3 linked regions of the Arabidopsis thaliana genome follow. The protein of the gene in region 1 interacts with the protein of each later gene in a pairwise test. Each region holds a gene or a part of one and is shown in the gene's direction. Other genes may lie near its edges.

Region 1 (7,911 bases):
TGTTAAGAATGTATTGCTAAAGATATTTATAGCAATTCACGGGCTTGGTATTTGGAGCTCAATAATTATCTCATCAAATCCAGTTTTAGAAACTAAGTGTCTGAATGCATTATTTCCTTATTTGTACATACAAAATGTTATACCATCCTCTATTCATTGGTCTATGTTAATGACATAATCATCACATGAAACAATTTGGATGCATTTGAAAATATTTTACAAAATCTAGCTATCAGTTTTCACTTAAAGACTTGGGTGAGTAAATATTGAAGAATAACTTACAAATTGATTCTATCAATCACAAATCGCAAACCTGAATGCTTTCGGTTGAACAAATCTCGTGCAGTTACTAGTGTTCCTCCTCTACCAAAATGACCAAGATGATATAGCATCCTACGATATGAACTAAGAAACCCAGTCTTGGTGGGATATCCGAAATCAACAAGATAGTACTTCCCACTAGGCGGATGTGGGAAAAAGGTTCATTCCTCGCACAATGATTCAAAACTTTTGTATCATGTGCTCTACAAGATATACTGACATATGCATATATGAATTTCATATCGAAGTTACATATAGCAAGAACATTCATTATATGTTCTATCTTTCTATATTTATATTTTTCTACAGATTGACTTAGACGGCGAACCGGGACATAAGTTCCATCAAGTGCTCCAACACAATCTCTAAAAACAGGCCAATATCAATCATCATTCTTCTAAACAGGGTTTACTCTCGTAAATTCACCTTCTTGTGGCTTTAGTGTATCCACTACAAACTTTAAAAGAGCACTCAAAACATCATCAATCTTTTTTTTTTTTACCGTATTCAATGACCGTTGATATCTTGTAACTATATCTCAAACAGTTTTATCCTGACCAACCACCTCGAAAAGTATTAGTGATTTCTACCTATATAGTGAAGAAGACCGTAAGTATTAGTTCCAAACATTTAGACCCATTATATAGAAACAGACATAGAATTTGGAAATTTTGAATAAACCGATCAAGCTGAGAGTAACTAAGAGAACACAAATAAATAAGAAACTCAAAATATTTAAGAGATTTCAGTCAGTGAATAACGAAAGTACCTCGGAGTAGAGATTCAACGTTGTATTAGAAGTAACCAACGACGGGAGATCTAGTTGAGCTCAAGTCACCGGATAATATTTCGCAAGATTGCGGCGGCGGAGAGAGATTGGTTTCAAAGAGTTTGAGATCGATGAGTGTAAGAGAGAAATGATGAAAAAGAAGTAGAAGAAATAGAGTTAGGTTTGTTTGTAGTTTCTCAAACATAATAAGGGTATAATTGTCATTTATCATATATAATACAACTTTTAAGCGTTGACCGCAGCATTATGCCGCACTTACTTGCATCTGCCGCTGTTGCAGCAACCTAGATAATCAAACGAACATCTTATTAAAAAAAAACAGAAGCTGAAAGCCCAAGCTTATTTAAAGATGGGCCAATAGGGGCCTGCATAAAGTTCCAATTTTATTTAGAAAATATCTATTTAACATCATTTATGAATAAAGTGTCCTCCGATGCTATTTGGGTTTGGTTAAAGATGGATTTTGGAGGTTTTCCAAATGATGTCAGATTTTGAAGATGAACAATGAAATAAATATATCTAAAGCTTATACATCTAGGTCTCTTACCCAACGGCGATGAAATAAAGAATACATGTACTAAAACGACGCATGCAAAATAATACCTGAAATTTTCTTTCTACGTTGGAACTCATTGCAAAAGATGAGGAATATTGCATAGCCATGGATTGGATAGAGCCATAAAGAATCGGTACACATTGCTTTTCATATTTTAATATCGTTAAGGCGTAATGTAATAAGTATTAGAAATGGATTTTTAAAAGTATTTAGATAGTTCGGGTTTAAATTTTATTTTATTGCTGATTGGACTTTGTTTTACAATTATAGAGAAATAATTTTGTGTTAAATTATAGTATTATACGACATTCACACAATTACATTTACATTAACATGTACCACGTCTATTTTATAATATTGCTCCAAAACGAAAGAGTGGTCTTCACGACGAGCGAGGTTTAAAATTTGTAGTCGTGCATTGCAAAAAGCTGCGAAAACCGTGTGAACTCTCAACCAAACCAAATATGATATGAAGAAATTGGTTCTTGTCCATTCGGTGGTTAGTGTGCATGCATGTCGGTGAATTTTATATGTTTTCCATTTACGACCTTTTCTCTTTATATCATATAGATTTTTAGGGGAAAAAAAAATCATATAGATTTTTAAAAAATCATGTTCCCAATTAAGACATAATGTTTAGTAGCCAAATTGAGAACCAACCTTTTTTCTGTTTATTAAATAATTTAAGTGGATGGATTTTACACATATATTTTAATGTCTTACATAAATAAAATATCATGTTATTTTTTTTGATAATATCATGTTTTATTGATAAAATCCATACATACTTGATACTTGCAAAAAATATCATGCACAAATTTATCTCTATAAATGGTTATCTACCTTTTTTTTTTTTTTTTTTTTGAACACAATTTACCTAATAATCTTAATAAATATAAGAGAAATGTAACGCATACTTTTGTTGGACATTGTTTTTGGTCGAGTCTGATTGGTTTTTTGTTCAGATCTATCGGATTTATGTATTTAAGATCTAATAAACAAATTATAAAAAATTTGATTCGATTTGGTTATCGATTTTATTAATAATGTTAATATAATCCGACTTACTTTGGTTAGAAAAATTAATTCAAAAGTAACAACAAAAAAAAATTGGATAACAAAACCATCTAAAATCCTGCTAATTAATTCACATCTAATAACCGAATCCGAACCTAAATGACCAAACCATTTGTGTAAAAATCTCAAGCCTAGTCCCTATATTTCAATAGATTTTTTTCTTTTTTTTTTGGTCAAGATCAATAGATTTTTTTCATCAATTCAATTTATTGCAAATTTGCAATAATAGTTGGTAAATACTATAAATGTAAATGGTCACGGGATAACAAAAGAGCAATAATAATATAATAATTGCATAAGACGAGTCAACATGACCAAGAAACATTGAAGGGTTCGTAACTTCGTATCATCTTCCTCCTCCTCCTTTGATAAACACCAAAAAAAGGCAGAGACTTTCGAAATCAAGAACAATGGAGAAACCAAACCCTAGAAGACCCTCAAACAGTGTTCTTCCATACGAAACACCAAGATTAAGAGATCACTATCTCCTCGGCAAAAAGCTAGGCCAAGGCCAATTTGGAACAACCTATCTCTGTACAGAGAAATCATCATCAGCTAATTACGCTTGCAAATCAATCCCAAAACGTAAGCTTGTATGTCGTGAAGACTACGAAGATGTATGGCGTGAGATTCAGATCATGCATCATCTCTCTGAGCATCCTAATGTTGTTAGAATCAAGGGTACTTATGAAGACTCTGTTTTTGTTCACATTGTTATGGAAGTTTGTGAAGGTGGTGAGCTTTTTGATCGGATTGTTTCTAAAGGGTGTTTTAGTGAACGTGAAGCTGCTAAGTTGATTAAGACTATTCTTGGTGTTGTTGAGGCTTGTCATTCTCTTGGTGTTATGCATAGAGATCTTAAGCCTGAGAATTTCTTGTTTGATAGTCCCAGTGATGATGCTAAGCTTAAAGCTACAGACTTTGGTTTGTCTGTCTTCTACAAGCCAGGTTCGTTGTTGATTCTTCTCTTTTGATTGGAATCTTATGGTTTTTGTCTTTGTTGGTTGGTTCAAGGAAATGTTTTGATTTGGTTTCTTGATTCGGATTTGCTGCTTGAGCATTGTTAGGGAAAGATTGAATTTTGTTATATCTGGTTTTGACATTTAGTTGATATATATGGATGTGTTGATTGTGCAAGGTTTTGTTATATATGTAACATATGCTTATGGTTATGAAGCGATCTTATCAGATTTTATTCGATTCATTGTCTAGATTATGTTGAGAAATGTCTTGTTTGGTGTTGAAAATCGGTTTCATGATATGTTATCTGTAGAATCATTTGTTGAATGGTCATTTCCAATTTGCTGCTTGAGCATTGTTAGAGAACCAATAATTTTCTGTGGCTAGATCTTTCTGAATCTTTTCTTGCAAGATTTACATAGTTTTGTTGTGTTACTTATGCTTATGTAATGATGCTATCAGAGCTACATTGTGTCCGACTAATTTCAGTGCTTAACAAAATTTTCAATTGTGTGGGTTTGCATCTTCAGGGCAGTATCTGTATGATGTAGTTGGAAGTCCGTATTATGTTGCACCTGAGGTTCTGAAGAAATGTTATGGACCAGAGATAGACGTGTGGAGCGCCGGTGTTATCTTGTACATCTTACTAAGTGGGGTTCCTCCTTTTTGGGCAGGTAAGTTTGTGAAAGCTAGTACCGTTGTTACTACTGAATCAAGTATATTGCTTATGTGATTTAAGCATCCATGAGTAATTTGTTTGCAGAAACCGAGTCAGGAATCTTTAGGCAGATATTGCAAGGGAAGATAGATTTTAAATCTGATCCGTGGCCTACTATCTCAGAAGGTGCTAAAGATTTGATTTACAAAATGCTCGATAGGAGCCCCAAGAAACGTATTTCTGCACATGAAGCATTGTGTAAGTTGTTACTTATGATTGTTTTCCTCTCTGCTACATGTATTTTGTTGTTCATTTCTGTAAGATATAAGAATTGAGTTTTCCTCTGATGATATTATTAGGTCACCCTTGGATTGTTGATGAACATGCTGCACCAGACAAGCCTCTCGACCCAGCAGTCTTGTCGCGACTTAAGCAGTTCTCGCAAATGAATAAAATCAAGAAAATGGCCTTACGAGTAAGAAAGTTGTAGCCCTTTAGTCTCCACTCTCATTGCTTATTTTCAAGAACTGATTTCCCTGTTAGGAAGATCGACTAAGATAACACATTTTAAGAACTATTTTCAGGAAATGAATAAACTTAAGTAAATGGCCTTATAAGTTGGAAAGCTATAGTTCTTTAAACTCTCAATGCCATTGCTTATATTCAAGAACTGATTTCCCGGTTTAGGTAATCGCGGAGAGACTCTCGGAGGAAGAGATTGGTGGTCTGAAGGAATTGTTCAAAATGATAGATACAGACAACAGTGGAACAATCACCTTTGAAGAGCTTAAAGCAGGTCTAAAGAGAGTTGGATCTGAATTGATGGAATCAGAAATCAAGTCTCTTATGGATGCGGTAATTATACCAAAACAAAAACTCTCTTTTAGAATATTGATTTCTCCGTTCTTCTAGGAATCACAAAGCTTAAATGGTGTTTTGCAGGCGGATATAGACAACAGTGGGACAATAGACTACGGTGAATTCCTAGCAGCGACATTACATATAAACAAGATGGAGAGAGAAGAGAACTTGGTGGTTGCGTTTTCATACTTTGATAAAGATGGTAGCGGTTATATCACCATTGACGAGCTTCAACAAGCCTGCACAGAGTTTGGTCTCTGTGACACTCCTCTTGATGACATGATCAAAGAGATTGATCTTGATAATGTAAGAAGCCTTCATGATCTGTTTCCTTTGTCTTGTTTCTTAGTGAGTTTGGTTTAAAACTGATGATGAAAATATGTGGTTTTGTTAGGACGGGAAGATTGATTTCTCAGAGTTTACTGCTATGATGAAGAAAGGAGATGGTGTTGGGAGGAGCAGAACTATGAGGAACAACTTGAACTTCAATATAGCTGAAGCTTTTGGAGTTGAGGACACAAGCAGCACTGCTAAATCTGATGATTCACCAAAGTAATTATAATCATCTATATACTTGGAATTGAGAAATGAGAACTCACAAAAGAAAAACTGAATCTTTCCTTTTTGTTTTCGTTTCCACTTTTGTAGATGAGCAACTTTCTCAATTTTGTTATAAGCATGGATAATTTTGCTTCATATTTTCTGCGTATAGAACCATTATATGATCAGAATCACCCATATTTGGTCAAAGCAATGTCTTCAAGCATTTACATAATCATGTTTGTTATACATAAGCCAATAGGCTGCAGAGTCAGATCTCTGAATCAAGTATTCAATATACAAAGCCAATCATGATTCAGTAAACTAGCTACACAAACACTTACTACTACAAGGGGGTAAGAGAAGCTCTCAAATCGAAGACAATAAACAAATCAAAGCCAGAGTTAGCGATTTTAAGCTCCGCGATGTTGCAGAAACAATCTTCTTCTTTTATCTTGAGCTCATAAACACCTTTGAAATGCTGCCATGCGACTGAAAGGTGCTGCTCATCAATATCTATATAAATGATTATACTCTTCAGTCTTCGACTCTTCATTCATATACTCTCTTTCTCTTTAGAAGGGCAGGGAATATGGAGATGGATCCAATGAGGAACAGCACTGACAAGGTCTTGAAATCATACAAATCCTTTACTGATCTGAGATCTCCAAGAGCCAAACCAGCCTGTGTAAATGAAAGTAAATGTTAGCCTCTTAAACACGAAAGAACAGCGGAATGAGATTGAACAATAGACTCACTCTAACTGTGATGTACGAAGCTGGCATAAGACCGACTAGAGTCGCCAAAAAGAAGACGTGAAAGGGTATGTCAACGATTGGAGAAGACAAATTGATAAAGAGGTTTGGAAGTGTTGGTGTTATCCTTAAGAACAGCATGTAGTTTAGCAGCCTATCTCTTCTTTTCGCAATCTGACCCATTGAAGATTTCAAGACATTAATGCTTTCAGAACAAGAGACATTACTAAATACTAATCAAACACAAAAGAACTTACCTCAGCTTGGAAAAACCTCAACTTTTCAGGCCATAACCAGTTAACCAATGGCCTACCGACCAATTTCGATAAGAAGAAGCAAGAACATGCTCCAGCAGTTGCATTAAGGACAACAAGAACAAAACCTCTAACCACACCGAAAAGAGCTCCAGCAAGCAATGACATAAAGATCGTTCCAGGTATCATAAATGTCTGCATAAAGATATACGTCGAACAGTAACCTAAAATGAACCGTGCTTGGTACTCACTTGCATAAGACCCAAGATTCTCTCTGCACATATTCATCATATCAATATATCATCATCATATAGTAAGTCCAAGCATATCACATTCAACTGAAAACGCAACTTTCAAATCAAGTCTTAATGCTAATGCATGTACTTATTTTGAAATTCAAGTAACACTACTAAAAGCTAAACACTTTCAGTTTCTACATTTGCATAAATTCAATTCTCAATCTATAATACCAAACAACAAGCTAATCACATACAAACAAACTGAGAATGCTGATTCTAGAATCATGTCTTTAAGCTAATTTTCTGCTCTCTAAAGTCTAAACCAATTTATCGGAATCTTCGAAAGATTCAAACTTTCAATATGGGTTTTTGAATTAGAATTCAGATTCAACAGATCACTATTAAAAAGCTAAACACTTTCAATTCCTACATTAGCTTAAACTCAATTTTTTCAATCAATAGAACAAACGAACAAGCTTATCACAAACAGAAAATTTTCCATCAATTTTCCGAAAGATTTGAACTTTCAATTTGGGTTTAAGATTTAAGAGATAACTACTCAAAGCTAAACACTTTCAATTGTAAAAGAAGAAGCTTTTAATCTCACTTGAGCAATCGAAGATCGGAGATAGTTCTAGGAACTTTGAGCTTGCCGTATTCAGCGGCAGGCATGGTGAGGTAAATACAAAAGAGTCCGGTGGTGAAAACGAGAAAGACGGTGAAAAACACGGCGAATTCCCACCGTGAGAGAGGAAATCTCTCCGATTTGGTTCGTTTACCAGTCGGTGAGTCATCGTTTAAGAGTCCTTTAGCTGCCGATGAAGCTGCGGGGCTTTCTTCGTCTTTTACTAGCTGTCTTGCTCCACCGTCACCTGTTAAATTCCGAGGAGCCGCCATTAC
Region 2 (6,981 bases), on another chromosome or scaffold:
AGTCGCTTAAACTCTGCAACCTGCACATACATACACAAAAACACAAACTTTCAGGAACAATGATAAGTAACGTAGCTCTTAAAGAGATAAGAGCATGGAGGTGATAATAAACTCACGGTGGCATTTGCAAACCGATCATTGAAAGCAGCTTTCCAACCAGCGTTTGGATTCTCATTGACTTCCTTTACAATCTCATTCTGCAAAAGTTGATCATCAACGTTTAGGCAATCTAAAAGAGACGAAAACAATACAGATAATTGTGTGGATTAAGATCAAAACCTGAAGAATCAGTGAGGTCAGTTTCTGCTTGGAAAGATTTTCCGCTGCAATACCCTGAGATTAAGAGATAAACCAGCTTCAAAAGTTTAAAACTTTACTGATATAGAAACAATTACAAAAAACCATATATACATTTCCCCTTCATATGTCTTAGATTGATACGCAGAGAAAAAAATCACAAAGTTTGATTTATTTTGTTTTTTTTTAACTTGTAGCTCAAGAGTCCAACAAATCGATCTTAGTAAGCAATTTTAACACACAGATTACGAAAGTTTAAAGTACCTGCAAGTTGAAGGATGAAAATAAGAGCAAGAAAACAGAGGCTAATAAGTGAAGTCTGATACAACAACTATCAGCCATGATGAATCTCCCTTGTACAAATTTCTCGTTCCCACAAAGAATTCCAGAATCAACACAATGATTGGCTCAGACTTTGGAAACGGTACAAATTTTCTTTTCTAATAAGACAGAGAGAGAAAGTGAAAGGCTTATCTTTTAGACAAACTGAAAATGACACATGATTTTACTAAAAGGATCCTGACCGTTGATTGATCCTACTTACCAAAATATCAAGTAATGATGTCTAACTTGATCATTAATCATCATTTCTTGATATTTACTTGATATCATGGGCCTATAATTCTTTAATGGTGATTTCTTTTATTATAGGCCCATTCTATCAAGTAAATAATAATATCAGGATATTATACTTACCTGCAAGGTGATTCTTTTATTAAAGTTTACATGGGCCTATACGTTTCCAGGCCCAAACTATTTGTGAAGTAATGTCTAACTTGATTATAAATCACAATTTAAAAATGATTATTAATTAAAGTAATCAAGGCATTAGTTACTTTAGGCGGCTTTAATTAAAGAAATCAAAATACAAGTGTAACAGTAATTAGTCTCTCTAGTCTCTACTCTACTGTCGCATCGATCGAAAAGCCATAGAAATCTCTAGAAAGGAAGCAGAGAATCTTTGAAGGCGATGAAGTTCGTATCTGTAGCCAAAGGGATATGGTTTCTTCGACCCTAATCTGCTAATTTCACCTGTCTTTAGAGCCGGTAAGCTCCTCGTCTTTTACGCTTTCCGATCGATTTCTCTGAATATCTCGAGATTCTTTTTTTTTATTAGTTCCGGTAGGTTTTTGAAACTCATTGGAGCTGATTTGTGCTGAGATTTGTATGATACTTGTTTTTTATTCAAATTGTCTGCACATTTTTGTTGTCAAATCCAAGGGTTTTCGCTCTCTAGTTATTTGCCTTGTTGGAGCTTTTGATTTTGGTTATTGATTGAGTTCGCGATCGATTACGTTTAAGCTTTGTAGCTGATCCGATCTGGGAGATTTTCTGGTGTTGTGTATCTTCTTCTTTTTGAGTGCTTCATTGATCTCACAATGTATATTTCGTGTTTTATATAGCCTTTAGTGTTGTTGTTGCTGAAATCAGTGAGTAAAATGCTATTTATGTTCGTTTGATTTCTGATTAGTAACATACTCAGCTTCTCGCTGTCCATTGTATTGTAGTAGAATTCTTGTAATGTGAATTGCTGATGATGAGTCTTTAACATTTTCTATCTAGGTATCTCCTGCTTGTGTTCCTTTCTACTGAGTTTGTGGTTGGAGATTTGAAGTACTTGTGTTTTAAGGGTAGTAAGTGGTTAACTACAGATGAATAAGAATCAAACAGTTGGGCTAGACTCTGAAGATGATGACTCTGATGATTACGACATTGCGCAAGTAAACTGTGAGCTAGCTTTGGTTGAAGGTCAGCTCTGTAACATACCATACGAGCTCTACGATCTACCAGATTTAACGGGAATATTGTCTGTTGAGACTTGGAACTCACTTCTGACTGAAGAAGAAAGATTCTTCCTCTCATGTTTTCTGCCAGATATGGATCCACAGACTTTCAGTTTGACGATGCAGGAACTTCTTGATGGTGCCAATTTATATTTTGGGAATCCAGAGGATAAGTTTTACAAGAATTTGCTAGGTGGATTGTTTACTCCAAAGGTAGCTTGTTTCAAAGAAGGTGTTATGTTTGTCAAGAGGAGAAAGTATTACTACTCTTTAAAGTTCTATCATGAAAAGCTGATCAGGACATTTACCGAAATGCAAAGGGTGTGGGTTCAGTATGGAAATAAATTGGGCAATTACTCAAGGCTCCTCATTTGGTCAGGACGAACTCAAACCGGTAATCTCAAGCTACTGGACCTCAATAGAGTTCCATCTAAGGAAATGGATAGTGCTACATGTAGATTCAAAACTCCCAATGTAGTGAAACCCGTGGAAAGAAATAGATCGAAAAGTTTAACCTTCCCTCGCAGTGGCAGCTCCAAGAACAGTCTCAAGATAAAGATAACCAAGGAAGGAGTATTCCGGTATCAAGGTTCCAGCTTAGTTTCTGCTGGCCATCATCATCAGACTTTGCCAAAGGGTGTTCTCAAATTAGTCCCTAAATCTTCTTCTGCCATCCTCAGGAAACCCTATGTAGCTCCAGGAAACAATCTCCTGCAAATCCATGAAACCGGTTCAAAGAGTACTAGATTTGCAGCGTCTCCATACTTAGGTACGACATTTGAGAAACCACCCTACGGAACTCTTGGCTGTTCTATCCCAGACCCTTTCTTAACCTATTTGGAAACTACACAAAGATCAATCCAAGGTACAGAACCGGTGTTTCATGATCCAACACACACTGTTCCCAGTGCTCTCCGTGTTTCAAATTACTCCATCACAGAACAGAATATACCTCTAAAGCAAGAAGAATATGTCCGGTACCACCTGAAGTCTCCTGGTTTTAAGCCTAGGACTGTTGACAGAGGCTCTGAAACAACAGAGAGCAAGAGGATTTCGTCTAGTAATAACTTTCAGAGGGAAGCCAAGGCTCTGAGAAAACCGCTGGGGGTCCTGAGCGAAGACAATCATGCTCGAGAAGCCAATAGTGACCATTTGTTTTCCTTGACTTACAAGCGAAGAAAGGTTCAGAGAATCGCTTGAGCTCCCGTGACGCTATGCTAATTCAATGTTCCACCTAATGTAGTCTTCCATGAAAATATGAAGTGTAATGCTGCAACTTGGTAACTGGATTTGGTTTGGGGTTGAGTTTGTTAGTTTTCAAAATTTGAAGGCACTAAAAAGAAACACTAAAGAAATAGAGGAGTAAAAGTGAAAATAATTTGAACTATTAAACAAATTACCGATAAGGTCACATTCTTTAGCTTTTCTCTGCGGAACACATCGAGAGAGCTTCTTCCAAAAACCTCAAACGCTCCTCACACAACGGTAAGCTCCTCCAAATCTCCCAAAACGTTATCGCTTTCGAAATTAATTATCATCATCGTCATCACTCAGCGATTATTTACCAAAAGAATTTTTTTGCTGAAGGGTTTAGGAGTGATGGGGTCTCTCGTTCGTGAATGGGTTGGGTTTCAGCAATTTCCAGCAGCTACCCAGGAAAAGCTGATTGAATTCTTCGGAAAATTGAAGCAAAAGGTGTGTTTTGTTGTTGTTGTTCCTGTTTCTTTGGTGCTTAAGTCGGTTTCTCGGATTCTCCGTTGTGATTAGGAGATAATGATGGGAGGTTTTTGTAATTGCAGGATATGAACTCAATGACAGTTCTTGTTCTGGGTAAAGGCGGTGTCGGAAAATCATCCACTGTCAATTCTCTTATCGGCGAACAAGTCGTCCGTGTCAGTCCTTTCCAAGTACGTAATTCAGTTTCCCTAAGCTTGATTTTTTTAATTTGGATTAAGAAAGAGTAGTCATTTCAAGATATTTGATGGCTCTGTTTTGTTGATTTTGTAGGCTGAAGGATTGAGACCAGTGATGGTTTCAAGAACAATGGGAGGGTTCACTATCAACATTATTGACACCCCTGGACTTGTGGAAGCTGGATATGTCAATCACCAAGCTCTCGAGTTAATCAAAGGGTCAGTAGCTACTCTTTTGGAATATCTCTTCGTTGATTGTTGCATATAGGATTATCTCATTCGTTTTTGAATTAATTAAGCTAAGTATATATGTGGTTAACATGTTTACTTGTGGGTTTCTGTTGAAATTGTGAATTATGAGTATCTGGTTTACGCTGAAGCTGTATATTGGAGTGTGTGTGGAAGTTTTACGATAGTTGTTGTGTTTCTCGGATTTTGGACAGGTTTCTTGTGAACAGAACAATAGATGTCTTGCTCTATGTTGATCGTTTGGATGTGTATAGAGTCGATGAGCTAGATAAGCAAGTTGTTATAGCAATCACCCAAACCTTTGGAAAAGAGATATGGTGCAAAACCTTGCTTGTTCTGACTCATGCTCAATTTTCCCCTCCCGATGAACTTTCCTACGAAACTTTTTCCTCCAAGAGATCAGATTCTCTCCTCAAAACTATCCGGGCTGGTTCTAAGATGCGAAAACAAGAGTTTGAGGTATGGTTATTTATACATATACCTGTCTCCGAAAATTGTTATACCAATGTATGTTTGGTTCATTGTAGCAAGAATCAGTTTCATTCTTTACTGGCTTGTAGGATTCTGCAATCGCGGTAGTCTATGCAGAGAACAGCGGAAGATGCAGCAAGAACGATAAGGACGAAAAGGTTTGTGTTTTCGAATCTCTGATTTGATCCGACTTGGAGAGAGACTGACTGTTAAAAGTTGCTTACCTGCTCTCGGTTCAGGCTCTTCCAAATGGTGAAGCGTGGATCCCGAACTTGGTTAAGGCGATAACTGATGTAGCAACAAACCAGAGGAAAGCAATTCATGTAGACAAGAAGATGGTAGATGGATCTTACTCTGATGATAAAGGAAAGAAACTCATCCCTCTTATCATAGGCGCTCAGGTAAGAAAGAGACACAGTTTGATTTATTGTCTTGTTCGAATTTGGTAAACAAGTGAAATCCTTTCTTCTACTTTGCAGTATTTGATCGTTAAGATGATTCAAGGAGCAATCAGAAATGATATCAAGACAAGTGGAAAGCCACTTTAAGAGGCTCTGAAGAAGAGGTTTTGTTGTGAGCAAATTACAAGGAGAAGAAGAGTTTTTCGATTGTTCTTTCTTTTGTTAGATTTTATCTGCAACATTTTCTTGTTTCCGGCTTTATCTTTGTCTGTAATTTATGGAGATTTGTTCAAAGAAAAGATTGCCATGCTTTCTGGTTAAATGAAATGGATGTTTCCCAATCATAATATCACCAAAAAAAGAATATATTATGTTCTGTAGATAAGAAAAACAAATGATCTGCTAAAGTCTGTTTTGAATCAAACAAGTCTTTTAGCTGATGGGATTAATTGTTTGCATCCTCGGGTGATTACATAAACACAGATCAACAGAAAACTCGGCATAACCAAGGCCGCTTCTATCTCCCACAGGAAGACTAGCATTGGTAGCCTGATGTCAATGTCTGTTAGATCATCAATCACTGCTGCTTCTGTTCCATTATAAACAGTTTATTGAGAATTGGTTCGGAATCATCATCATATCCATCTCTTATTTCCTAATACTAATAGACATGAGTGTTTGTTTGTAACAGAGGTTTAAGAAATAGATCGTCCCGGTCCCACATAATCTAACAAACTTACCGTTTAGATTAGATAATCACCATCAGATCTCACAGTTGCAATATGATGAAAATAGACGGTCCAGATTTCTCGAACGTTCTCAAATAAGAAAAAGGAAACAACTGTTGAAGATAAAAGGAAAGTAGGAAACAATCGAAATTTGGATATGGTAATAGTCATTTTGACATGTGCAATCTTTTTAATATGTTGTAGTACCTGAAAGAAGCTGGATGGGCTCAAGGAGACCGAGTTTTTGCTTGTACCAGCCAAGACCTTTAGCTGTCCCGATTTGTTTTTGGATCATATCACAAGCTGCTGCATGAGGTATTGCTTTCTTCATTTACTTTTTTTTTTAGTAATTGATTGAAAGATTTTTTCAACCATGTTTTGTTTTTTTTGTAAGTACTAAATTTTTAATTTTTGTGACATAACATCCAAACAGAACGTGCCAAAAAAATTTGATACCATACGCGAAAATATGATTTAATATTTTAATAAATATTATAAACATAACAAAAAAAATAATTAATATTTAAAGTTTAATAATAAATTAAGCAAATTTTAAGCAAAACATAAATAATTTAGAACAAAAATATGACCAAAAACGATTAGGTTGATTATAATGTGTAAACTAGTAAAATGTGCTAGTGTCGTTATTATGTTATCAATCAAACGGTATAATGCATGTTGTTAACAAAACAAAACATAGTTTTATTGACTTCTCAAAAATGACCTTTGAAATAATTACGACAAAGAATATTTTTATTTTTTTACTAACCTTTCTATTATCGAACTCTTTCGTTGTAAAAATGTCTCTTGTCGCCGGTAGTGTCAAGAAGACGGACCTTTGAAATACTTCTCAAAAAAGACCTTTGAAATATTCAAAGGTATAGCAGGTGGCGAGATAGCCTGGCTTGTGAGAGAGGAGCTTTCCGTCTTCTTTGTTATGTGTATATTTTAATAAATAATTTTTTTGTTATGTTTACATTATTTATTAAAATATTAAACTATATTTTTTTGTTTATAGCATCAAAATTCATTGGCACGACTCTGATGACGAGACACCAAATATCCATATAATGGTGTTGCAGTTGCTTCGTTGGAAAGACGATAATCAACCTCCGGCCAAGATAATCTTCATATCAAA
Region 3 (6,633 bases), on another chromosome or scaffold:
ATCAGATAGGTGAAGTTGGCAATGGACACAACTAAATGTTTCGGCCGCTTTGGGTTCTCAAAACAGAAGAGACAGCGTTCTTGCTGGGTCATAATACGTTTCACACGGTTGTCCTTTTCAGGAATGTTACTTGACGATTCCCGCTTCCGGGACTTTTTGCTTGGAGCGTCTCCATATTCATACTCATCATCAGCAGCTTGATTCGATGTTTTGTACTGTTTGTTCTGCATTATGCTCTTGGCTAGATGCATATCCGTATCATCTTCATTCTTCCTTCTACCCGACATATCTTTGACAGGATATCTAATGAGTAAGAAAAAGAGGCATTTTAAAATCAGAACGATTTGACAAAAAAAAAAGAAACGCCCTAAACAGCTCAGAAATAAAAGTAAACTAAACTTACCTCACTGCGGTTCTGATGGAGTGGTGGTCTTTGGATGAATCGTCTCCAACAGCTTGTTTTGCTTTCAGCCTTTCCGCTTCTTCCTGTAAATATCAAGAGAATTCACTTCAGAAGTAAGCAGGAAAAACAGCTCAACTAATCAGACTCAGGAAAAACTGTTAGAAAAAAGACTCAGGCACAAGGCAAGTGAATGATTGGGAATTTCAAAGTTATTGTCTCACCATAATTTTCTGGGCTTCTTCATGTTTCCCCTTCATACGGAGCTGTAAGGCTTTAGCAGCCAGTTTATTCACACTTAAATTTTCCATACTCGGAAGAGTCCCTTCGTCATCCTTATTGGTCTCTGACGGTAATGCTTCCTGCTCCACATCACTTCTGTGATCTCCACGAGTCTCTACGGGAGACACTGATACATTCTTCTGCTTAGAAAGCATTTCCTTCATGAAATTTCCGTCATTGGAAAACTTATTCATGTGAGCTGCAGCTTCAGATATCAGCTTCGAGTCTTCGTTTCTATGAGTTTGGCTCTTTCTCTTTCCCCAGGATAAAGAAGGGTCGGTTTTGGGGGCTCTCAATACACGATGGTTCAACGACTCACCTTTCAAATACTCCCGATTATTACCCTTCAAATAAAATACGTCACGAAGTTAGAATATAAGCTGTCATAATTCCCAGTATGAAACAGTACTAACCAGTATGAAACAGTACATTAGCGGTTCATGTACCTTCTCAGAAATTCTTTCTTTTGGTTTTTTTTCTGAATCATTCTTTTCATTTTCCCCTCTTCTTCTATTATTTATGGCATTCAAATGGGCACGAGATGGAGCTGCTCTTTGAGATGCGACAGACTCAACAAGGTTACCAAGAGAACCATATCGCTCGCCAGCAACCTGCATAACCCTCAAAATGATAAGGCAATACTCAAAGACCAACGAGACTATATTAATCGTAAATCAATACAAAACTTACCTCCTCAAGCCTTAGCCCTTCTCTCGCAGCCTGTTCTTTCGCACGCTTGAGTGCTTTCATTCTCCAACTTGCACCCCCATCTCCAACAACCGAAGAAGGTAAAAGCTGGTCTTTACCATGTTTTTTCTCAGATTCTTCCTCTGGATAACCGGTTCCATTTTCTTTCAAATAAGGATTTAGTTCCCTTGGGTTAACTTTAGTTACCTGGCAGAGAAAATAAAAAGCATTAACTTAACTATCTAATACGGACTTGTTAGAAAGATACTCTCAAATAAAAATTCCCTCACCTCAGGTGCACTTTCTTCAAATTTATCCTCTACATCTGAAGCAGGGTTTGGATCAGCCTTTCGGGTTGGCGGCAGCATCCAATCGAGACCCATTTTCTTTCTAACAATATCCCCTTCAAGCAAGTCATCATCAACGGTCTCGCCATCTCCACTCTTGGCAATCTTCTTCCCATCTCTCTTACTTCCTTCTCCCCTACGCTCCTTTCTATTTACGTCCTTGTTCTTTCTTCTTCTATCCTTCCCACCTTTAGATTTCTCTCTTTCCCCCTCCCAACTATCATCATGCACCTAATAGCAAAGAAAAATAACATCAAACTCAATCCAAGATGAATAAACACAAAAGAAAATTCAGGATCATATGAAACTAGAAACTTTACCTCATCACGAGGTATGATCTTTATCCCAGAAAACATATTAACAATATCTGTCCAAGGTCCTGTTGGAGAAATAATCAACAGACTTCAAAGGCAGAGCGAAGCAAACTTCAAACCTACACAAAACAGAAAACAAATTAGACCATGTCATAGCCATGATACTACTGTAAACAGAACAAGATCCAGAGATCAACAAAATCAGCAATACCAAAAGCAAGATGCAAGCACATTATTTGACTAAGCAAACCTCAGCCACAATATTTACAAATTACAATCCTCTGATCAGTAAGATCATACTTTACTAGTGCTAAGCTTGTAGGTCACTAGGTAGATGTTATTAAAGCTTAAAGCAACGAGATTGAAAGTTTGAAACTAAATTTGATCCTATAGATTCTAAACCCTACTGATTGAGAGATCTTAAGAAAACCCATAAACAAACTTCAATCGAAATGCAACACGACGACCAATATACTGTACTTCGATTGGAACCAAATTGGAGAATTTAAGAAACTAGAGAATTGAAACAGAGAGCAATCTTAAGCAAATATGTCTCCTTTATCTTCGTTAATGAAGAATAAAGAACTAATTCTCAGGAAACTTACCGGAAAAAGAAGAAGAAGAAGACAGCTACTCCGGCGATGGATGATGAACTCTGTTCGGAAGAAGGAAACGATTTGCTCTGTTCGATTGATAAATTTAGGGCTCCAGAAATAAATAACATAAGAAATACAAACTCAGAGAAAGCAACGAACCCGGACTATAAACCGGACAAACACACAACAAAACCGGGAATATGAATCCAATAACCGGTCCATAATTTCTGCAAAACCGATAATACCAAAGAAAACAACGAATTGCGACTATAAACCGGAAGAGAAAAACGACCGGGATTTGGAAATTCGAGAACCGGTCCATCATTTCTGAAAGTCGATAATACCAGACAAATACCAACCGGGATTTGGAATTTGTTAACCGGTCCATCAGAATCGATGATACGAGATAAAATTGAAGAACCGGGACTGATAACCGGAACAAATCAACAAACCGGGAACTGGAATGTCGAGAACCGGTCTCACCATTTCTGAGAAATCGATAATAGTCCTCATTCACAACGCACTTTCTCTTCCTCTCTCCTCCTACCAAGAAATCATCGTCTTCTTCTTCATCTATTCAGGATCGATCCGGCTTGAGATTTATTACAAATTCGTCCTTCTATTTGCTCCAAAAGTTCGACAATTTCGTAGGGGCAAAGATGGACGCTGATTCCAAGAGATTTCTAGCTACGCTTCGATCCCGATCTGGTGAGAAACTACAGTACCTTTATGTCAACTTTGATTTTGAGCTTTGTAAGTTTGGTAATTTTGATTTTTGAGCTCTCAAGAAGGGAATATTTGAATAAAGTTTCAAACTTTTTTTATCACATGAGTTTGATTCAAATATCGTGTTTTCTTGACTTTATGCGAAATTATTTGGTTAGTTATGTAAGTGAAAGAACAGTTTGACTCATATTTATGTTTCTGGCTATATAGGTTTTTGAGCTATGTAAGAAAAATTCTTAAACTTGTTGTGTTTAGGAGCTGTAATAGATTTGCTTCTGAAATAAAGACAACAAAAAAACTGGATGTTCCTATCTAGGTTAACATGATTCAGCAGGTTGTCTCATGGAGTCTAGTTTTGTTTTTCTTTCATATTGTTGTTACTTGGCTAGATGAAATTTTGTGCTTTTACCAGTATCATACTTGCAAATATATATGATCTTTTATGTTTGAAAATTGTAGAAATGTTAATGGGCTTTGAAGAAATAGATGGAGATGATGATTTCCAGGAGGAGTTTGCTTGCCCGTTCTGTGCAGAATCGTATGATATCATCGGGTTGTGCTGTCACATAGATGATGAACATACTTTAGAGTCGAAGAACGCGGTATTGCTCTCTACTGGTCTTTACTATCAAATCAACTTGGAATCAAAAATTATATAGCAAATGTGTACATTGGATTTTTCAGGTATGCCCTGTTTGTTCTCTTAAAGTGGGAGTTGATATCGTAGCACACAAACGCTTCACCATGGGAGTTTATTTAAGATATCCTTTTTTCAATTTCTACGTTTATAACTTACAGATATTCTTAGTTTCTCACCATGGAATCACATTCCTCTGTTGAATTCCTTAATGAGTTTTACTTGCAGCGAAAGAGAAAGTCACGAAAAAGCGGTACCAATTCGACACTTTCACTTCTTCGGAAAGAACTAAGAGAAGGAGATCTACAAAGGTTGTTAGGATTTACTTCTCGTAATGGTTCTGTTGCGTCAAGTGTAACTCCTGATCCTCTCCTGTCGTCATTTATCTCACCTACACGATCACAGAGTTCTCCTGCGCCACGCCAAACCAAAAACGTATCCGAGGATAAACAGATAGAGCGGTATAGATTCTATATTAGCTTTCTTTATTAGATTATAGAGTTTTTTGAAGGTTTAGTTTTTGATTAGCATTGAACTTGTTCAGCAAGAGACAAGTGTTCATCTCACCGGTCTCGTTAAAAGATCGGGAAGAGAGGAGGCACAAATCAGAGTTTGTTCAGAGGCTCTTGTCATCAGCCATTTTCGATGAAGTCTAATGCACATACAAAGATTGAGAACATGGAGGAACTAATTCGAATCAGACTTGAGAGAATCTGGTATATATGAAGCTCTGTTAGTTGTGTAAAAGAACCTACACAGACACATTTTCATCGGAATCTTGATTCAACTGTGTGTAGGTTTCGAGAAAAACAATGGTTGGGATGAGAAGAAGACGGAGAAGAGCGAGATGCAGCTATGTTATCAATATCTATATCTATCTATGTATTGTGTCTGTTTGGTGCTACTAAATACATTGCGTAGAAATGTGTTTTCTTAAGTTTATTAAGCAATTGAAAAGTAAGATATAGGAAGAAGAATAAGTCCTCTTGTCTGTAGCATAAACCCTATTGGTGTTCTTGTGTTGTGTGTCTTATGAAATGAAAAATGTTCACTCTTGTAAGCTAGTAAAAGAGTGATAAAAGAGTGGTTGAGAAACCACGTACGAAGTCATCTGTTTAAGAATAATTCAACAATATTGTTACTTTTGGTGTGTGTGTGTTTTTCTCTACTCAATTCTCGCTCGTCGTTCACTTAAACGCTCTTGATCTCTACCACTCAATCTCACTTCTCTCTTCATTCACATCTCTATAAAGATATGTTTCTCTCATTTAAACTCTCTTGATATCTCTCACTCAATATCAATTCTCTCAATGATTTTAAATTTCATTGTTAGATTTCTATTTAGATTAGTATATTTAGGAGCCGTTCTCAATTTTTAGAATTAGAAATTTAAATTGAAATTTCTAGATTCAGATTGTGAAATTTTGGATATGTTATTTTTTTCATTTAGATATTTAGTTTCAGATGAAGATTGGAATTTTCTTTATATATTTTTTTAAAGTTTTTATTTAGAAATTGAATGGTAATTTTATAATTTGTTATATTATGAATTTAGAGTATAAATTAATTAATCAAATTTTAAGCTTAAGACATTCTTATTATTTTGTAAGTTGTTACTTTTAATTAAGTTTCTTTAAATTTGACTCACAAATCTTTATTTATGTTTGTACCTCTATTTTCACATTGTTCTCAATCATTTTACGGATTAAGAGAATTCCAATATGAAAATTCATTGATTCGAATAACAAAAAAAAGTAGATTACATGTTCCATAATACATACAGATTTCATATTTTGGATAATAATACAATAAATTTTGTAACTAAAACTACAATATATTTAGAGACTTAGTAATTATTTCAACCCGCACATAGTACCAATAAACTACCTAATAGTTTATTATTTATAAATTACATTATATTTTCATGTACGTAATCTTTTACTATAATCATATGCAAGGATCCAATGCCATTAGTTTAGTTTGACTATTTGGAAGCGTGCCTGCAACTCGAATGTTCATTAATTTACTAACATTTGCATTCGGAAGTTAAATGTGTAAATTATTCATCATATTAATTGAAATTTATACAATTAGAATTAGTTGAAACTACTTTTGTTATATTAATTATTATGCTATCTCTCCATGCGAAGAGACAAAGTCGGTCAATGGACGGAAAAAAAAGAAGTCCGTCAATGTCAATGACGAGCATATGCGAACCATCCAAATTCCAAAACGATAAAAAAACTTATTGATACATTTTGATTTTTGTCAATTTCATAGATAGTACGTGCCCATGTGACGTCGGCGATACGTATTACCTATATAAACTCTACGTATGATACAATAAAAACCAAAAACGTACCACAAAACAAAACAAAACAAAATATGTCCGCTAATCACACGACTCTCCATAGCTCCGGGGATGAGGAGCCAAATCACGAGTTGTATTCTGCAGCGGTGCACAAGCTCGTGGTGTTAATGAACGCCGGTGTTTTTGGATTTCTCCAGCTCAGCGACCTGTCGGCTATCGGAACCAATGCAGTTGTCTCTACATCTGTTATGTTCGAGACTCATCGAGCCACTTTCCTTTGTTACTGGGTTCTCATATTGATCTACGCCTTTCTTCGTATCTACGAGATCAAAC

Evidence for each region. The genes of interacting proteins can lie anywhere in the genome.
Region 2: the proteins of CPK4 (region 1) and TOC33 interact in binary tests that used the Arabidopsis thaliana proteins (3 or more experiments, as listed by UniProt).
Region 3: the proteins of CPK4 (region 1) and DI19 interact in binary tests that used the Arabidopsis thaliana proteins (3 or more experiments, as listed by UniProt).

The regions. Positions count from the first base shown.
Region 1 is NC_003075.7:6,046,406-6,054,316, forward strand, and holds CPK4 (calcium-dependent protein kinase 4), read left to right. Parts: upstream 1-3,035; 5' UTR 3,036-3,154; coding exon 3,155-3,692; intron 3,693-4,234; coding exon 4,235-4,378; intron 4,379-4,467; coding exon 4,468-4,620; intron 4,621-4,721; coding exon 4,722-4,837; intron 4,838-5,049; coding exon 5,050-5,217; intron 5,218-5,304; coding exon 5,305-5,529; intron 5,530-5,617; coding exon 5,618-5,779; 3' UTR 5,780-5,975; downstream 5,976-7,911. Other genes in the region: AT4G09580 (SNARE associated Golgi protein family), read right to left, coding at 6,316-6,447, 6,522-6,692, 6,776-7,046, 7,619-7,908. UniProt on the Arabidopsis thaliana protein: May play a role in signal transduction pathways that involve calcium as a second messenger. Functions as a regulator of the calcium-mediated abscisic acid (ABA) signaling pathway. Phosphorylates ABA-responsive transcription factors ABF1 and ABF4 in vitro.
Region 2 is NC_003070.9:446,946-453,926, reverse strand, and holds TOC33 (translocon at the outer envelope membrane of chloroplasts 33), read left to right. Parts: upstream 1-3,500; 5' UTR 3,501-3,566; intron 3,567-3,668; 5' UTR 3,669-3,680; coding exon 3,681-3,776; intron 3,777-3,880; coding exon 3,881-3,988; intron 3,989-4,088; coding exon 4,089-4,213; intron 4,214-4,437; coding exon 4,438-4,702; intron 4,703-4,803; coding exon 4,804-4,872; intron 4,873-4,953; coding exon 4,954-5,115; intron 5,116-5,193; coding exon 5,194-5,262; 3' UTR 5,263-5,504; downstream 5,505-6,981. Other genes in the region: AT1G02300 (Cysteine proteinases superfamily protein), read right to left, coding at 1-20, 117-197, 280-333, 562-639; AT1G02290 (uncharacterized protein), read left to right, coding at 1,950-3,281. UniProt on the Arabidopsis thaliana protein: GTPase involved in protein precursor import into chloroplasts. Seems to recognize chloroplast-destined precursor proteins and regulate their presentation to the translocation channel through GTP hydrolysis. Binds GTP, GDP, XTP, but not ATP.
Region 3 is NC_003070.9:21,071,378-21,078,010, reverse strand, and holds DI19 (drought-induced 19), read left to right. Parts: upstream 1-3,133; 5' UTR 3,134-3,285; coding exon of another isoform or gene 3,286-3,334; intron 3,335-3,562; 5' UTR 3,563-3,741; coding exon 3,742-3,951; coding exon of another isoform or gene 3,952-3,954; intron 3,955-4,036; coding exon 4,037-4,102; intron 4,103-4,217; coding exon 4,218-4,450; intron 4,451-4,533; coding exon 4,534-4,645; 3' UTR 4,646-4,705; intron 4,706-4,786; 3' UTR 4,787-5,156; downstream 5,157-6,633. Other genes in the region: AT1G56290 (CwfJ-like family protein), read right to left, coding at 1-303, 404-486, 625-1,026, 1,129-1,293, 1,373-1,576, 1,660-1,947, 2,037-2,072; AT1G56270 (RPB1a), read left to right, coding at 6,375-6,633.